2 linked regions of the Tamandua tetradactyla genome follow. The protein of the gene in region 1 purifies or fractionates together with the protein of each later gene. This does not show direct contact. Links are inferred from orthologs where the notes say so. Each region holds a gene or a part of one and is shown in the gene's direction. Other genes may lie near its edges.

Evidence for each region.
Region 2: the proteins of BAG2 (region 1) and TBL1XR1 purify together in Homo sapiens (affinity purification with mass spectrometry; 3 studies listed by BioGRID and IntAct, with this or other methods). This does not show direct contact. The link is inferred for Tamandua tetradactyla from reciprocal best matches to the Homo sapiens genes BAG2 and TBL1XR1.

The regions. Positions count from the first base shown.
Region 1 is NC_135331.1:116,192,841-116,200,243, forward strand, and holds the start of BAG2 (BAG family molecular chaperone regulator 2), read left to right. Parts: upstream 1-4,392; 5' UTR 4,393-4,479; coding exon 4,480-4,592; intron 4,593-7,403. UniProt on the Homo sapiens protein: Co-chaperone for HSP70 and HSC70 chaperone proteins. Acts as a nucleotide-exchange factor (NEF) promoting the release of ADP from the HSP70 and HSC70 proteins thereby triggering client/substrate protein release.
Region 2 is NC_135331.1:75,025,025-75,032,582, reverse strand, and holds the start of TBL1XR1 (F-box-like/WD repeat-containing protein TBL1XR1), read left to right. Parts: upstream 1-4,495; 5' UTR 4,496-4,534; intron 4,535-5,206; exon of another isoform or gene 5,207-5,330; intron 5,331-7,558. UniProt on the Homo sapiens protein: F-box-like protein involved in the recruitment of the ubiquitin/19S proteasome complex to nuclear receptor-regulated transcription units. Plays an essential role in transcription activation mediated by nuclear receptors.

The DNA.
Region 1 (7,403 bases):
AAACTGCCAAGTTATCCTAAATTTTTCCCTTTTGGTTTACCTTTCTTTCCTGAAAATATGAAAGTGGTTGATGAGACTTACATGTAAAGCACATGTTGATTAGTTTTATGTCCTAAGCTTAAAATTCTGTATGTTTTTTAATGCAGATGTGGAATTAGAAGAAGCTATTAGAAGAAGTCTTGAGGAAATGTAATTAAAGATATTACCACACAACATCAAGTGGCCTTGAAGATACTCTCAGGATAATGAATTCTTGAGTTTGTTTTCTAAAAGAGACAAGAAATCTACTAGCACAAGTGTATTTGAGAACATGCTTTTGCATTCACATGTTCAAAATCTGATATTTTCTTTCTGTTTGTGTGTAGTTGTACACAGATATACAGAAAGCACAGAATACTGTGCTAACAGATAAAAATCATGTAATCTAATATAAAAATTACAGTTTCCCAGTTAATTTTGAATGCCTATATTTAGATTAAAAGGATTCTTAAAAAAAAGAAAGGAAAGCTCTTGGTTATGGTCTGTATGTTTCCCAAATATCATTAGTCTTTAATTTTTTTTGTACTGTACAGATGATTCTAGTTTTATTTTTTTAGGAGTGAAAATGAATATAAATAAGTTGCTATAGCTCAGATTTCCTGTAAATTCTACTTCTCATGTGATATATCTTTCATATCTTTGTGGTTATTAGAAAAGAGTAATGAAAACTGATCATGGAAACAGATTAAAATTTTTACCAGCAGTGTTTTTTGTGAGTTTTACTGAAGTGTATATTTCTGCTTTAATTAGATATAACACATTGCTGGGATGAAAAAACGTAACTAATTTTTTTTTGCGATAATTAAAAGGCAGCCTTTTCCATTCCTTTTACCTGCTTAAACTTTTATATGACTTCTATGATCTGTTGTTTAAAAGGAATGCTAAAATATTTGCATAAAATTAAATTTATTTTTAATAATCTTAGTCCTTTTTCTTTTTACATAGCTGTGTAAACTTTTTATTCTTCAAAAATAATGAAGTCTACTCAGGAATATTCCTTACCCTTTAAATTTTTTATTACATATGGAAGTATTTTCATTTGAATTATTCATTGGATTAATCTCAGTTTCCTACATTTGATATTATATATTTAAGTTTTCAATGTTGAAGCCCCATTATAAATAGTAGAACACATTACATAAGTAGAAGACTATGAAGAGCTTGCCATACCTCTATTTGTGTATATGTTTCGTGTTTTTTGACCAGAAATGTCCTACCCCTAAAAGTTTTGAGTAGTAATTTCTCACCAAATTTTAAAATATTTCTATAAATCTAAAGCTTTCTTAAGATGAAAAAATGCCACAGCTAGCATTTTGTTCTTTCTCTGCGACACTGGATATTTTATTGTGAAATGGGATTACTGATGCTTTAATTGCTCTTGTCTTTTCAGTCCACACTGGAAACCAGTGTTTTTTAAGATGTCAATTTTGTTCTTCCCTGCTTGTATTTTTAAGACATATAGGATGAGAATTTACCAATCATCTTTCCAAAATGACCACATCATGCTTTTAATTTGTAAGTTAAAGTTGTCAACCAAGTCTTTAGAGGTAGTCAATGGGTTGTATCATCAAGATATCTTCAGGAGCTTGCTAAATAGTGAGGAACAGAAGGGACATTACAGGAAGAAGAGTGGTTAAAGCAGATGTGGAGCAATAGGAGGCAGCACCTCTTTTCCAGTGGTTCCACACATGGGTGTGATGTACACTGATTATTCAGAAGCTTTGTGGTGTGTATGGCAGAGAATAACAAGCTTTTGATATGACAAGAAGGGGATATTCATCATGATCCTAAAGAAAATGTAATTGTGGTGTTTCAAGTTTTAATCAATAATTGTCACCAATTGTATTTCTACTTGTTAAGCAATTAAAAATCATTTAAAAATTACATCATAATTTGCAATTAACTTAGACCCAAGAAGAAGGTATAATCAATGGATTACCTTACAGAAAGTTTTATGGGTTATTATCAAAAATGCTTTTTTTTCATTTCATCATTCATGAAGTATTTATTTATTTATTTATTTATTATTTATGTGTCAGGAACTATTCTAAGCACTTGGGATATACCAGTGAGCAAAACAGAGCCCCCTCTGTGGAGTGCACATTGGGGAGAGGAGGTTTGATAGAGTCATAGATAATAAGCAATTAAAAAAGTATATCTGATGGTGATACATGTAATGAAGGAAAATAAAGAAGGGAAAGAAAGGATGGTGGGTAGTATAGGGGTTGGTGTGTAGGAGGCTTGCTATTTTTAATAGGATGATCAGAAATGAGCTCACAGATAGGGAAATGTGAGCAAAGTCCTGAACAAAGTGAGGACCGAATCATGCAAATATACATAAGGAAGAGTGTTCCAGGTAGAAGGAACTAAGTGAAAAGGCCTAGACATGACTTTGGCATATTCATAGGATAGCAAGAAAGCTAGTGTGGCTGAAGCAGGGTAAGCTAGGAGAGTAATAAGAGATGAGGTCAGAGAAATAAAGGGAGCTGCACATTTAGGGTCGAGGTCTTTCTAAGGACTTGTACTCTGAGATGAGCAATAGAAGGTTTTTGAGAATAAGTGTGATCAGCCTTATTTAAAAGTATTACTGTAGTTACTGTATTAAGGATAGACAGGTGAGGCAAGAGTAGAAGCAGGTAGATCACATAGGAGGGTTTTGCAGTAACCCAAGTGAGAATTGATGATGCTTGGACTACATTAGTGGCAGTGAAGTTGGGGAGAAGAATCTGGGTGTATTCCGAAGATACAGCTGATGGACTTTACTAATGGATTGGATCTAGGATATGAAAAAAAAGAGTCCAGAACGATTATAAGTTACTTGATAGACTTTCAAACCTTAAAAAAATGTCTTTGGATTCCAAATTACTGAGATCAAATCATACACTACACCAGAAGTTTATTAATATATAGAATAAATTAGAATTAGAATCCAGACCTAAGGGTCTCAGCTCTGTTCATGTGTTTAAATGGCTTTGACCTCTAAAGTCTGTAATTCAGCTTTAAACTCATTTTCTGTGCCTCCTACATGTTTATTCCTTGCTTATGAAACTGAGATGGGAACAAAACATTTTTTTCCCTTTAAGTAGACATGTCTTTGCATTCCTAACCCTATCCATCTTTTCCTGATCTTTATGGTGTCTGACCTAGTAGCCTACCAATCTTGTCATTATTGTTAAGTTAAAATATTTGGATGTGAAATGGCTTTTTTAGTTAATACCGATTATTTCACTCAGATTCCCAAAGGAATAATTTTTTTGAATAAAGAGAAAAAAAAGTCATTAAATACCCCTTCATTGAATGGGTAGAAATGAAGTATAAATTCACTTTGCTTCTGTCAACCAAGAAATAAATTAAGTTGCGAGACAACAGAAGCGTTTATTTGGGGTATTAGAATTGCAATTCAGGGAGCATATATTTAGGTAGCAACCCAAATCGTGTCCCTCTTGGCATTTCCAGACAAGGGTTTTTAAAGGAAAAGATTAGATAAGTTGTTTGTAGTTGGACATTTGGGATACTCCACATGTCCTTCAGGTTAATAGTTTACTGAGTTCTTTATCTTTCGGTTTATGTGTCTGGATGTCCTTAGGATTTTGAAGAACATAGTTGCTTGAAGTTTAGCATACTTTGGCAGTTCGTGATCTCTGGCAGAGCCCTGTAAAAGAGTAACGCTCCGTAATGAGCTCCTGACTCCATTTTAAATTTCTTAGCCATGGTAACTGTACTTTGTTATTTCTTTTAACACGTCCCACATCCCGCTAGACAGAAAAAAAGCGTGGTAGCCTTTTCTTTTTTTCTCTATAGCTTCACTGTTGGTATTTAGGCTTATTCTAATCGGAGGTGTGACAGGACAGAGTTGTATCTCAGTGCCTTCTGCTCATGTCCGAGGACTTTTGTTCTTGCCGGGAGAAACTAAATGAAGCCATCATTGAGCACTACATTCACAGCCTGCTTCCAGGAACGCTGCGGGGGCGGAAGAGGGGTACTTTCAGGCTGCAAGGAGAATCGGGGCTTACTACTGGGGCCGAGGGGTGGTGTTTTGTGGTCTCCACACTGGTTTCGGGTTGTTTCAGGGTTCCGGGAGAAGAACCAGCAGATCACATTAGGTCCTTCCCGCTTTCTCTGTCCGTCACTTCAGGTGTTTCTGAAGCTGCTTGGTTTTGCTCCTCAGGCCCCAGTGGCTAGCAAGTCCTCCCCGCCCCCAGCCGCCGCAGCCCCCACCCAGGCCCCGGGCCCGTCCGACCCTAGCCCCGAGGGGCGCCTGCTCTCGGCCACGCGGCGGTGGCAGCGGCAGTGTCGGCACAGCCTCCCGGGCCGCCCCCCGCGGGCGTCAGAGGGAGGCGGGCGCCCCGCGCGGTGACGGCAACGCTTGCGGCCGCGGGAACACTCGACTCGCCGCTGCCAGGGCCGGTGACCTCTTGGCTGCCCCTTTCGGAGTCTCAGATGGCTCAGGCGAAGATCAACGCGAAAGCCAACGAGGGGCGCTTCTGCCGCTCCTCCTCCATGGCCGACCGCTCTAGCCGCCTGCTGGAGAGCCTGGACCAGCTGGAGCTCAGGTGAGGGCGGCGCGTGGGGCCGCGCGGGCGGGGGGCGCCCTGGGGGCCGCGCAGGCGGTTCGCGGGCGGAGGCCGAGCGGCGGGTCCGAGCCTGCGCGCAGCTTCGGGGCAGGCCAGCTGAGGCGCTGCGAGAGAAGTGCTTGCTTGAGACTTGTTTCTGTGAATTTTCTTCTCCTTCTCTGAGAGAAAACTGAATCGATTTAAGATAAACCTCTGTGGTCACATTGTCATTCACAGACCTGTTCGTTTGGGAGTGGAGAAAAATCAGAAAAGATAAAACTTACAGTGACACTGTTGGAGATTACAGACTGAAACCTCGGGTCCGCAGAATTTCTAGAACCTTCTCTGTGCCTATATATGGTCTTCACAGATGCTTGTTACTTTACTCCTTTCCCATTGTGCATTTTAAGGGAGGCAGCAGTTTCCAGTCTCTCCCCCCCCCCACCCCCAAAGTGAAGTGATTAATTTCCTTGCTCTAAAACGCTTCAGAGCAAAGGAAGGAGTGGTGGTGAGCTCCAGGAATCCATCCTATAGCAAAGATTAGAGAAGAGAGTAGAACAGATGCAAGACTGAGAGGTGAACAGTAGCTGGGAGCATTTTGTGGAATCGAGGCACTACAGCTTCCTTTTCTCTGTGACCGCGCGTACTGTACTCAGCCATTCTTTTACCTAGTTACGTAGAAGACACTGTTGACACCGTCTTGAAAGGTGATAGTCACTGTGGCCTGAAAGCTTGTAAACATAGTCGGTTTTTCTGTTTTACTTGTTACAAGATTTCTTTAAATCACATAGTGGTAGGTGTGTATAGAATTTCTAAATCATTTAGAATAAATTTTGGAAATGCTCTTTTCTTTCCTGTAAACGTTTATGTCTCTAAATTTCGATCACATGCAGATGTGCTTGGATGAAAATCTTAGGAAGGCACGTAAGGAACCCAAATTGTGCGCAAATTTTGTTCAATAGTTATCACGTATAAATAAATATGTGAGCCATAAAGTTTAAGAAGCACTGCATGTGTGTTTTTATCTCCCTTGATTAATATGTCAAAGCAAGAGGTATCCATTTGCCAAGAAACGTACATTAATAACCACAGTATTCTCTTAGCAACTGAGGAACTGAGGCATTTATTATTATTACTACCCAGAAAAGAGTCGAAGCGGGAGACATTCACCATGCACGATTTCGTGGATGGCAAACACAGAAACCATTTCTGGGATTCTGCTCAGAATGAGACAAATGGAACAACAGAGAAGTAATGATTCCATGTGTATTTCCACAAAACTAGTAAACCTGACCTGTTCAACCCCTCAGAGAAAGTGGAGCAAAACTAGAGTTCAGTGCCTCTGCTTCTTTTGTCCCTCTGATTTTTTTTTTTAATGTAGCAGTGTAAAAAGTAACTCACATTTTTGCAGCCTTTAAAATTAAGTAGGCATGATTTCAGGTGTTTTCAGGAATCTCTCTCCCTAATTCAGAATGAAAGAATTTTTCTTAAAGGAATGAGAGGGGTGTTGCATATTCTTTCAAGCTGAGTCACTGCCCTCGAACTTAAAGTAAGGCTTCATATATGGGTAGGTACAAAAGCACTCACGTGCTCCTCTTTAAAGAAGGCTTCTGGTTTTGAATATTATTATAGTCAAATATTTGAGTAATGTAAATGTATTCTAATTATTGCACATAAGCGATTAAATTACTTTGCTTAATTAACCTTGAATTATGAGGAAACATTACTGATTAATATCCATCTGTTTATTTCAAGGACATTTCTAGTAATTTCGAACTTTTAAAGCTTTGTTTCTTACTTTTAAAAAAATACCGACTGTACAGCACAAACTGAACCCTAATGTAAACCATAGACTATAATTAATAGTACAATTATAAAAAAATGTTATTGTCATCATTTGTAACAATGCTAATGGTCCATGCAAGCATGCTAATGCAAGCTGTTAATTATAGGGTGGATATAGGAACTCTGCATTTTATACATGATTTTTCAACAACTTCTCTAATTAGAAAAAAAAAGAAAAAATATTGACTGAAAACTTAAGAAGTATTTTAGAAGGTTAGCTAAACAGAGAAAAATGCTAATACTGATCCTATTAACATTAATTGAAACCATGGGCAACATCCCAGCCAGAGCTTACACTATTAAAAAAAAACTAGAATCATGCCTCAAGGATCAGTTTTTAAAAGAAACTAACATGAAATTCATGTTGTTGGTAACAGTTTAATTTCATATTAAAAATAACTAACAAAACAGTGTATTAGGTAGAGTGAAAATTATGGTTCATACTTAGATGCATGCATTTACTTACTGTTCCCCTACTATGCTGGTTTTGTTGATAATGGAAGAAACTTCTTCCATATGAAACTAAAAAAAGGATTAATACTAAATGCGTTACCTGGTATGAAATGGTGTATATGATGTTTAAAGAGCTTTAAAATGTTTTTGGCAGCATTCTACAAATTGTTGAAGATTTCCATTTGTTTCTAATACTTTATCGTGACACTAATTTTTCTTTTTTTATTCCATCTCCTTTATTCTTTTCCTCCTAAAGAGGTCATTCCTTCTTTGTTTTTCATAACCAATTCTAAGCATTCTGAATTTTGCATTTGGTAGTAGCTTAACATACCTTACTTATTGTTGCTTTTTAAAGTTATTGCAATTGTAATTACTTATTAAGAAACAAACACAGGCTAACTTTATTCATCTCATGAGCACTGAGTTTCATGCCAGGCTCTGTACCTTTGTGGAACTTATTCTGCAGATGGAAATTTAAAGCTTAAAAAGTTAAACGACTTGCCTAAGGTCACA
Region 2 (7,558 bases), about 41 Mb from region 1:
CTTTACTTTTCTGTTCACATGTCACCTTCAGTGAACAGCCTTCTCCAAATTACCCCTATAAAATAAGGCACCCCCCAAAGTCCCTCTTCTCCTTCTTCTACTTAAGCTTGGTTGTCATTTCTGATTTACTAGCAGTTTTAGCATGTGACTAAGGTCTGGCCAATGGGGTGCGAGTGGAAGTGACAAGTGCGACTTCCAGGACATGCCCTGCAAGGCAAGGGACGAGCTCTCATTCCCCTGCTTCTGGGCCTCACGGCTAGAATTTGAGTGTGCGGGTAGGAGCTGGAGAAGTCTTCTTACATCATTGAGTGGAAGCTCTATTTTGAGAGAGCAAGTAATCCCACTCTTTTTTTTTTAACATGGCCAGGCACCCGGGAAATGAACCCAGGTCTAAGGCATGGCAGGCAAGAACTGTTGCCACTGAGCCACCCTTGCCCGCCCAATCTCAGTCTATCAGCACTGGACTGTTTACATGGGTATGTCACATAAAAGAGAAACTTCTATCTTGTTTGATAAAAGATAAATATTTGTTGAATGAATGAAAAGCAAAACCATTGGCATAATGCAATGCCCTGAGAAAGTGAGTGAGAGACTAGGGCAGCAATATAATGTGTATGCGCCCAGTTTTCCATTCTCACTGAATCACAAACCCAAGATAAGCCCTGCATTTCCATCACCCAAGTGGCATAAATACTTCCAAGATGGTTGCGTGTTTCTTTTGTAATTTAGATTAAGATAAGTAGAGTTCACTGTTGTAATGAAATCAGGTCACAGAGGCATGGAAAACTATGACAAAGGTCACACTGATGAGGGAAGGTCATAAGCAGCATGCTAAGCACAGATGGAGGAAGGGAGCTTGTGTGCTGAGATGGCGAGATGTGTGGCTGAGATGCACATCCGTTCAGATGGCAGAAACTGGTAGCTGAAGAGCCACGGACAAAGAATTGCACACGTTGAGTAAAAATGAAACACAAATATCACAGGGCATCTGCAGGATGCCTGGGGGTGAACGCTACGGACACAAAGCCACTGAGTTTGGGGTGAGTGCAGAATATAAACACAGTTATAGCATCAGGATAATATTTGGGGTATCAGATATCCTTTTCATGCTATTAAGCTTGTTTTGAACACTTTAATTACATAGGACTGGCTAATGTAAACAATTTAAAAGATCATGGTGGCCTTGAAATACATATACATAGTAATGAGTTCCTGTAGGCTGGGATGAAGCTACTTTAAAACATTCTATTTCCTGAGCCATGAAAGTTGCCCAGGTGTAGGCTATCTTGTGGTACCGCATCCCCCCGGGTGTAATAGTAGTGATGTAAAACAAGTCAGGGTGTGTTTAGTCATTTTACAACACATACGTAACTTCTGGTAACAGTTACCAGTATGAGGTATCTGTTGGGTAATTAGCTAGAAGGTTCAAGAGAACTTTCTTAATAATGTGTCCCTTTGCTTTAGAATTTCTTAGTAACAGAGTAATTTCTCTTTTCTAGAAACATATTAACATTTATAGTCAAAGCATAAGGACAGTTTTTAGATTAGGACAAAACCCTGAAAATTATTAACAATATTTGCTTCTCTTTGTCCTTACCTCACCCCATGTGTCGAATTTTTGCTTGATCTACCAGATGCACTGGAATGGACAGAGATAAACTACACATATGACCTCGTACGGCAGCTTATTTATTTCATGTTTAAGGCATTTTGTCATCCTAGATAGGGTCTTAAAGTATAGGAATCAATAGACCAGAACGTGGTTAAAAACCCCTTTCGTAGGGGAATCGAGGTTTTTCTACATTTAGGTGCATCGTTTGCTCAAAGGTTCTCTTTCCAGTTCTCTCTGCAGTGAACAGCATAAGTTCCCACCTTTGGTGATTTTTATTGTGGTGTGCAAATGTAGTAATTTATGCGCATAAATATCTTGTAAACTATGATGCAGTAAGCAAATGTATGGGTTATTCTTATCCTTGAGATGAGGCTCAGTTAATACCAAACAACTTGTTAGGGGAGGAGGCGGCCATAGGGTGCAAAACCTTGGCGCCTGAAGCCCTGGACCATATGTCCCTTAAGGAAGGGAGTGGGGTAAGGAATAGGGACATTATGCGGGAGGATAAGGCTGGGGCCCCCAATTTGGAGAGTATCCTTTTAAGGTTGGGAAGTCCTCATTCACTGGAAGGGTGGCTTCAGTTTCTAGCAGCAGCTTTCTGGAGAAGACCCCTGAGTGGCACAACGTCAAACCTGAAAAACAATCTAGGCCAATGGATTCGTTTCATTGGGTGGCTGAGATAATGAACCCTAATCGTATTGAGTCACTTTACTTACAGAACAGAAATGCTAGTGACATACACGTCATTAATCAACTCTTAAAAAGATATATATATATATTTAAATAGAAAGATACTTCACTCTCATCGCTTCCAAAAGAGTTCTGTGATAGATGGGCCTCACCTTTAGAGTCCTCCTGAAATGTGAAACTTGCTTTTTTTGTGCTGTTTGCCTGTACCCTGCACACAGTGTTTTGGAAACCTGCAGTTATCTAAATTCCCATCGGGTGACATTGTTTAATCTAACATTCCCTCTTTCATATACGAAAATAGCTCTAAGGACACACCACTGATAGGCTTTGAACTCTCTCCTGGTTGGGAGGGAGTTTCCAAACCCGCTGCCTTTCTCTTCGGTTTTTCCTGCCCACCCCCGCCCTATGCCGGCCAGGAAAGGCCTTGGGCCGCTCCCCATTAGGCAGGGGCTCACGGGGGAAACTGGGCCAAAGAAAAAAAGCACCTGCTCTAAACATCCCGCTTATCAGGCCACCCGGGACTCAGTCCTGTAGAAACCACTTCAAGTGATGATTTTTCCCTCTTTGACGTGAAAACTTAGGTCTCTCATAGGACAGGAGAAGACTATTGCCGTAAAATAACCACTACACCTATTCGCAAATATTGTGATGAAAGTATAAAAACAGAACGCTCACCTAAGAAGGCGGCCAAAAGTATTATTTTGCTTTGAAGACAGTAATCACTGAAAATAACAAGAAAAAGACTGCTTTCAAGTCATACTTTAAAATCAAAGGGAAGCTGCTTTTAATGTTCCAGGCTTATACAAAGGTCAAAACCCCATTCCTGCTTTCTGAGAGCATTAGAAAGATTAATGCCACATTTGTTTTAAAAACTGTGAGGCGCCTCCCTTCTGCAATCACACTGTCACATTATCACTCACCTAAGTTAGACTTAATAAGCTGCCCTGATGTGCTACACCCCGCACAAAGTGCACACAGCGCATAAACATGTGCCGTCGAGGATGCCGCACAGGAACATATTTAGCCAACACTCAGTTACATTATTTTATCTTTGAAAAATGAGAACTGACCGGCCAACCCTTTCAATCAGACCCACCCCACGGTAAATCCCACGGTATGTTTGATTCTCCAGTACATCTGGGCATAAACACTTCAACGACAGCTTTGTGTTTGGTATCAAAAAAAACCTTGTGTGTGTGTGTGTATATGTGTGTGTGTGTATGTGTGTGTGTGTGTATGTGTGTGTTTTCTCTACAGATCCCACGCTCTGGATTACGTTTGTTAAAAATATCGCTCATCACAGGTATAACACCTTTGCAGGTACGCTTCCGAGAACCCTGCGGACGGACGCACACAAAGGTGTGCCCAGAGCCTTCCCCCAACCAACGTCCCCCGGATGCGTGCGCCGCGCGCCCCGCACGTGCCCACGAGTGCGCACCGGCACCCAGGGGCGCCCCGCCCCCACCGGGGCCTCGGGCCGCGCGACCAACACCCAAAGCCGCCCAACGCCCGGGCGGTGGGGGACGGTGGGGGCGGGGCGCCCGGTGCCCCCGCGGCGCCGCGGGGCTGCATTCCTCCGAGACGGCGCCGCAGCCGCCCAGCCCCCAGCCCCGCCGCAGCGGGCGGGGAGGGGAAGAGGAGCTCGGCCGCCGGCGCCCCCCCCCGCCCCCCCGCCGCGCTGCCGCCGGCGCCCCTCCCCCTCCCCGCCCCCGCCCGCCCCGCGCAGGCCGCCCGGGTTTGTTTTGCTGCGCGGCCGCCGCCGCCGCCGCCGCCGCCGCCGCGGGCCTCGCGAGCTCATTTGCGCCTGGCTGGTCCCCGCTCCCTCTCCCCGGTGTGGAGTGGCGGAGCCGTTGGCTGCTCCGAACCGTTTGGCTCTTTCCCTTAGTAACAGCTTTTCCCTTCTGCCTCAATTCCTCGGCCCGCTCGCGCCCTGCCCCCGCGCGCCGCCCCCCCCCCCCCGCCGCCGGCCGTGCGCGCCCCCGCCCCCCCCCCGCGGCGGGAGCACCTCCGCTCGCCACCTGGGGACCCGCGCCGCCTCCCCGCCCCCGCCCGCCCGCCCGCGCCCAGCCCCCGCGCCCCGCGCTCGCCGGGGTTATAATTGCCTCTCACCCCCCGGAGGGGTTATTTTGGGGGTGGTTGGAGGCGGCGGCGGCGGCGGCGGCTGGGAGGGGAGTTTCCTTGCGCCTCCATTCCCGGGAGGGGGGAGCGCCGTCGGCGGCCGCCCTGGTCCAGGTAAGATGTGGGGGCCCCGACCCTGGGGTGGGGGCGGGCCGGGCCGGGGGGGGGGCGCGGGCGGAGGCGGCGGGGGGTGGGGGAGTCGCGCCAGGCCGTGCGGCTGCGGGGGGGATGGGCGCGAGTGGACGCTGGGTTCTTTAACTTGGCCCTTCGGGGAGCCGGCGTGCGGGTGGGGGAGGGGAGGAGAGGGAGGGCGTTTAGGGCGCCCCCACCCCCGCCTTTTCTCCTCTGGCTGGCTTCTTTGCGGTGCTCACGTGCCTGCCCAGCCCCTACCCTCCCCTGTTCTCGGGGGGATCCTCACCCTTTGGTTGTTGTCCCCGAAAATGTGCGCCTTGGCCTCACCCCCCGCCTTCCCCCCTCCGTGCATTTACACCCCCTTTTTTCTATGTGTGTGTGATGGTGGGGGGGAGAGGCTTTCAGGGAAAGAATTTGCTGCAAATTGAATCAAGGAGCCATCATGAGGCCGACTCCTTTATAAGCCTATTTTTAGCGGAGGAGAAAGCTCTTTTCCGTGCATGTTATTGGGTTAAACCTCCAGCAGTGATGGGAGCCGGCCCCCTTCTCGGGCGCGGCCCCGGCCCTCGTGTTGGGGGGCTGCGGGCGGCCGGGGGGGGGGGCGCGTCCGGGGCGGGGGCACCGGCCGGGGGAGGGGCGCGCCGGCCGCCTGGCCGCGCTGGGGGACGGGCTTCTCGGGAACTTAGTGCTTTGTATCGTCTGAAGGAGGTATGTGCTAGACCCTCTTTGAAGTTGGGTTCAGAAGTGTAGAATTGGCAAAGTTATTGCCAGCTTCCTGGTAAGTTTTGGGTGGCACAGAGTCCCATCATTTTCTGACGGTGGAAAGGCCACGTTGGGAGGGTGGTTTCGCGGTAACTTCCCCTTTTGCAAAAGATACCGTTTTTTTTTTTTTCCTGAACAGAAGCAGACTTTTGTGCAAGTGAAGTATTGATCTTAAATGGCAGCTCGAGGGAGGCCATGCATGTATTAACATGTTCAGTATTTTTGGAAGTTCCTAATTTGCTGAAACAGGCATCACTTTGCGGTGGCGACCGAGATTAAATTTGTTGTGAAAATGGTGTGCTACATGTAAAATAGGGGTGGTAATGGCTTTTTAGAAAATGCTCCCTTTGTTAGGATATCTGCTCACATTCACTTAAAAATAATTTGGCGATTTCAAAGGAGAAGTGTTGCAGCCTAGTTGAAAATTAGATCTTCCGAGTGTCTTGAGGTGGCTTTTAAAACCTAGGACTGTGCAGCATCAAAAGTGAGGTGTTAGAACCTATGTGATTTACAGTTGACTTAGGGAAGTTTTCTGTTGGCTTTCCTGCTTTCCAAACAAGAATCTTGTGCTGGTCTAAACAAGCTTGCTAATAAAATATGGTGGGTGAAATGGTGAGTTATTTTTAGTCTGAATGGTTTATCTCCCCCCTCCCCCCAGGTATATAATTAAGTAGTCTTCCTCCCCCTTTTTTACTAAAGACTCCTGCACTAGATTGGGTAATAGAAGGCCCTGGTGGTGCTTTTATCTACTTACCTAAAACAACTTATAATATCTTGGTTACACATCGACGATACAGAGAGTGAGTTTTTGGGTTTCCCAGTGGCATTCATTTTCATTTTGGTTAAGTAAGACTCATGCTACATTGGTGTATTTTAGTAATTCTGATTTTTGGTGCTGCATGTTCTCGCCATGTTAAAAAGTATATAGTCTAGGGAAATAGGGCAGCTTTGTCTTAAGGAAAACGGCATTTATGTTGGGTTGTATCATGGGATTTTATGGCAATTCTCCCAAATGATCACTGAGAGTTCTAGAAAAGTTAGCATTTACCGGTGGGGGAGGGGTGGCAGAAAGAAAACATGCCTGAGAGTGGTTAGGCATGGGATGCATGTTTGTACATTTTGCTCTTAAGTACAGCTTTTCCTGCTTGTTTGGAATATGATTTTTTCCCCCCACTTCTACTATCCTACATTGCGTGGTGTATGTAACAGCACCATTAAATCTATCGTTTATTTTTAGACATAGGAGTAGATAGAATCAGATTTACAGTGCAAATTACTAAACTTGAATGGGGGCTGAAAACACGTGCCAGGGAAAAAGTTTTACTTACTCTTAAGGAACTTAAGTGATTCCTTAATGGCTTAAAATTTGTTGCAAAACTCACCAATAGTTTATAAATTGTAACATAAAATAACTGTGGTTATTCATGGAAGACACTAGTGGTAAAATAACTAGCTCCTTGTAGAGGTTGTATTTATACATTTGTTGCTCCAAAAAGTGTTAAACATTTTTAATAACTTTTTACGTAATGTCCAGGAATCTTTTTAATATTTGCATCTGCGCCATCTAATTAAGGTTTTTTTCATGATTACCATGAAACATGCCTACTAGGAGAACAAGAAATGACAGCTTCCTGTGTGCTGGGAGCCTTTCATGCTAATATGCAAAAAAGGCAGTAGCTTAAGATAAACATAGGAGTTACTGATAAAAAGAGATGTGATTGATGGACTATTGAATGACAACCTGTTGAATCAACATATCTGCTCATATATAGTGATGAAATATAAGTACAGCCTAGTCAGATGAGTAGCTGACAAAGGAATCCCCTTCTGTAATTACAAGAGTATTACTACAGAGAATTTCTGACTCAACATATTTTGATCAAGTTGGTGGAGATAATTTTTTGGTTTTGTCCATTTTTACTGTTATATCTATGAAAATAATAGCAGGATGTGAGTGGTAACCAGGGGGAAGGGATGGCAGGAACTTTGACACTGTTTGGGACTTTGTATTTTAGTACATGCAAATTTGACTCATCTTGTAAATAATGTATACAATGTAAGTCACAGGAATGCAAAAAAAGGAAAGCAGTTACAGGAGCCATGTATACTTTGTACCTAAACATCCTCATCTGCAGAAGGGCTTGCACCTCAGGGCCATATAGTAAGGAATTGGTGATTAGTATGGTCCAGTTCAGAGACTGCTTCCACCAACCGAAACTTGAAGATTAAAAAAATGAAAAAGCT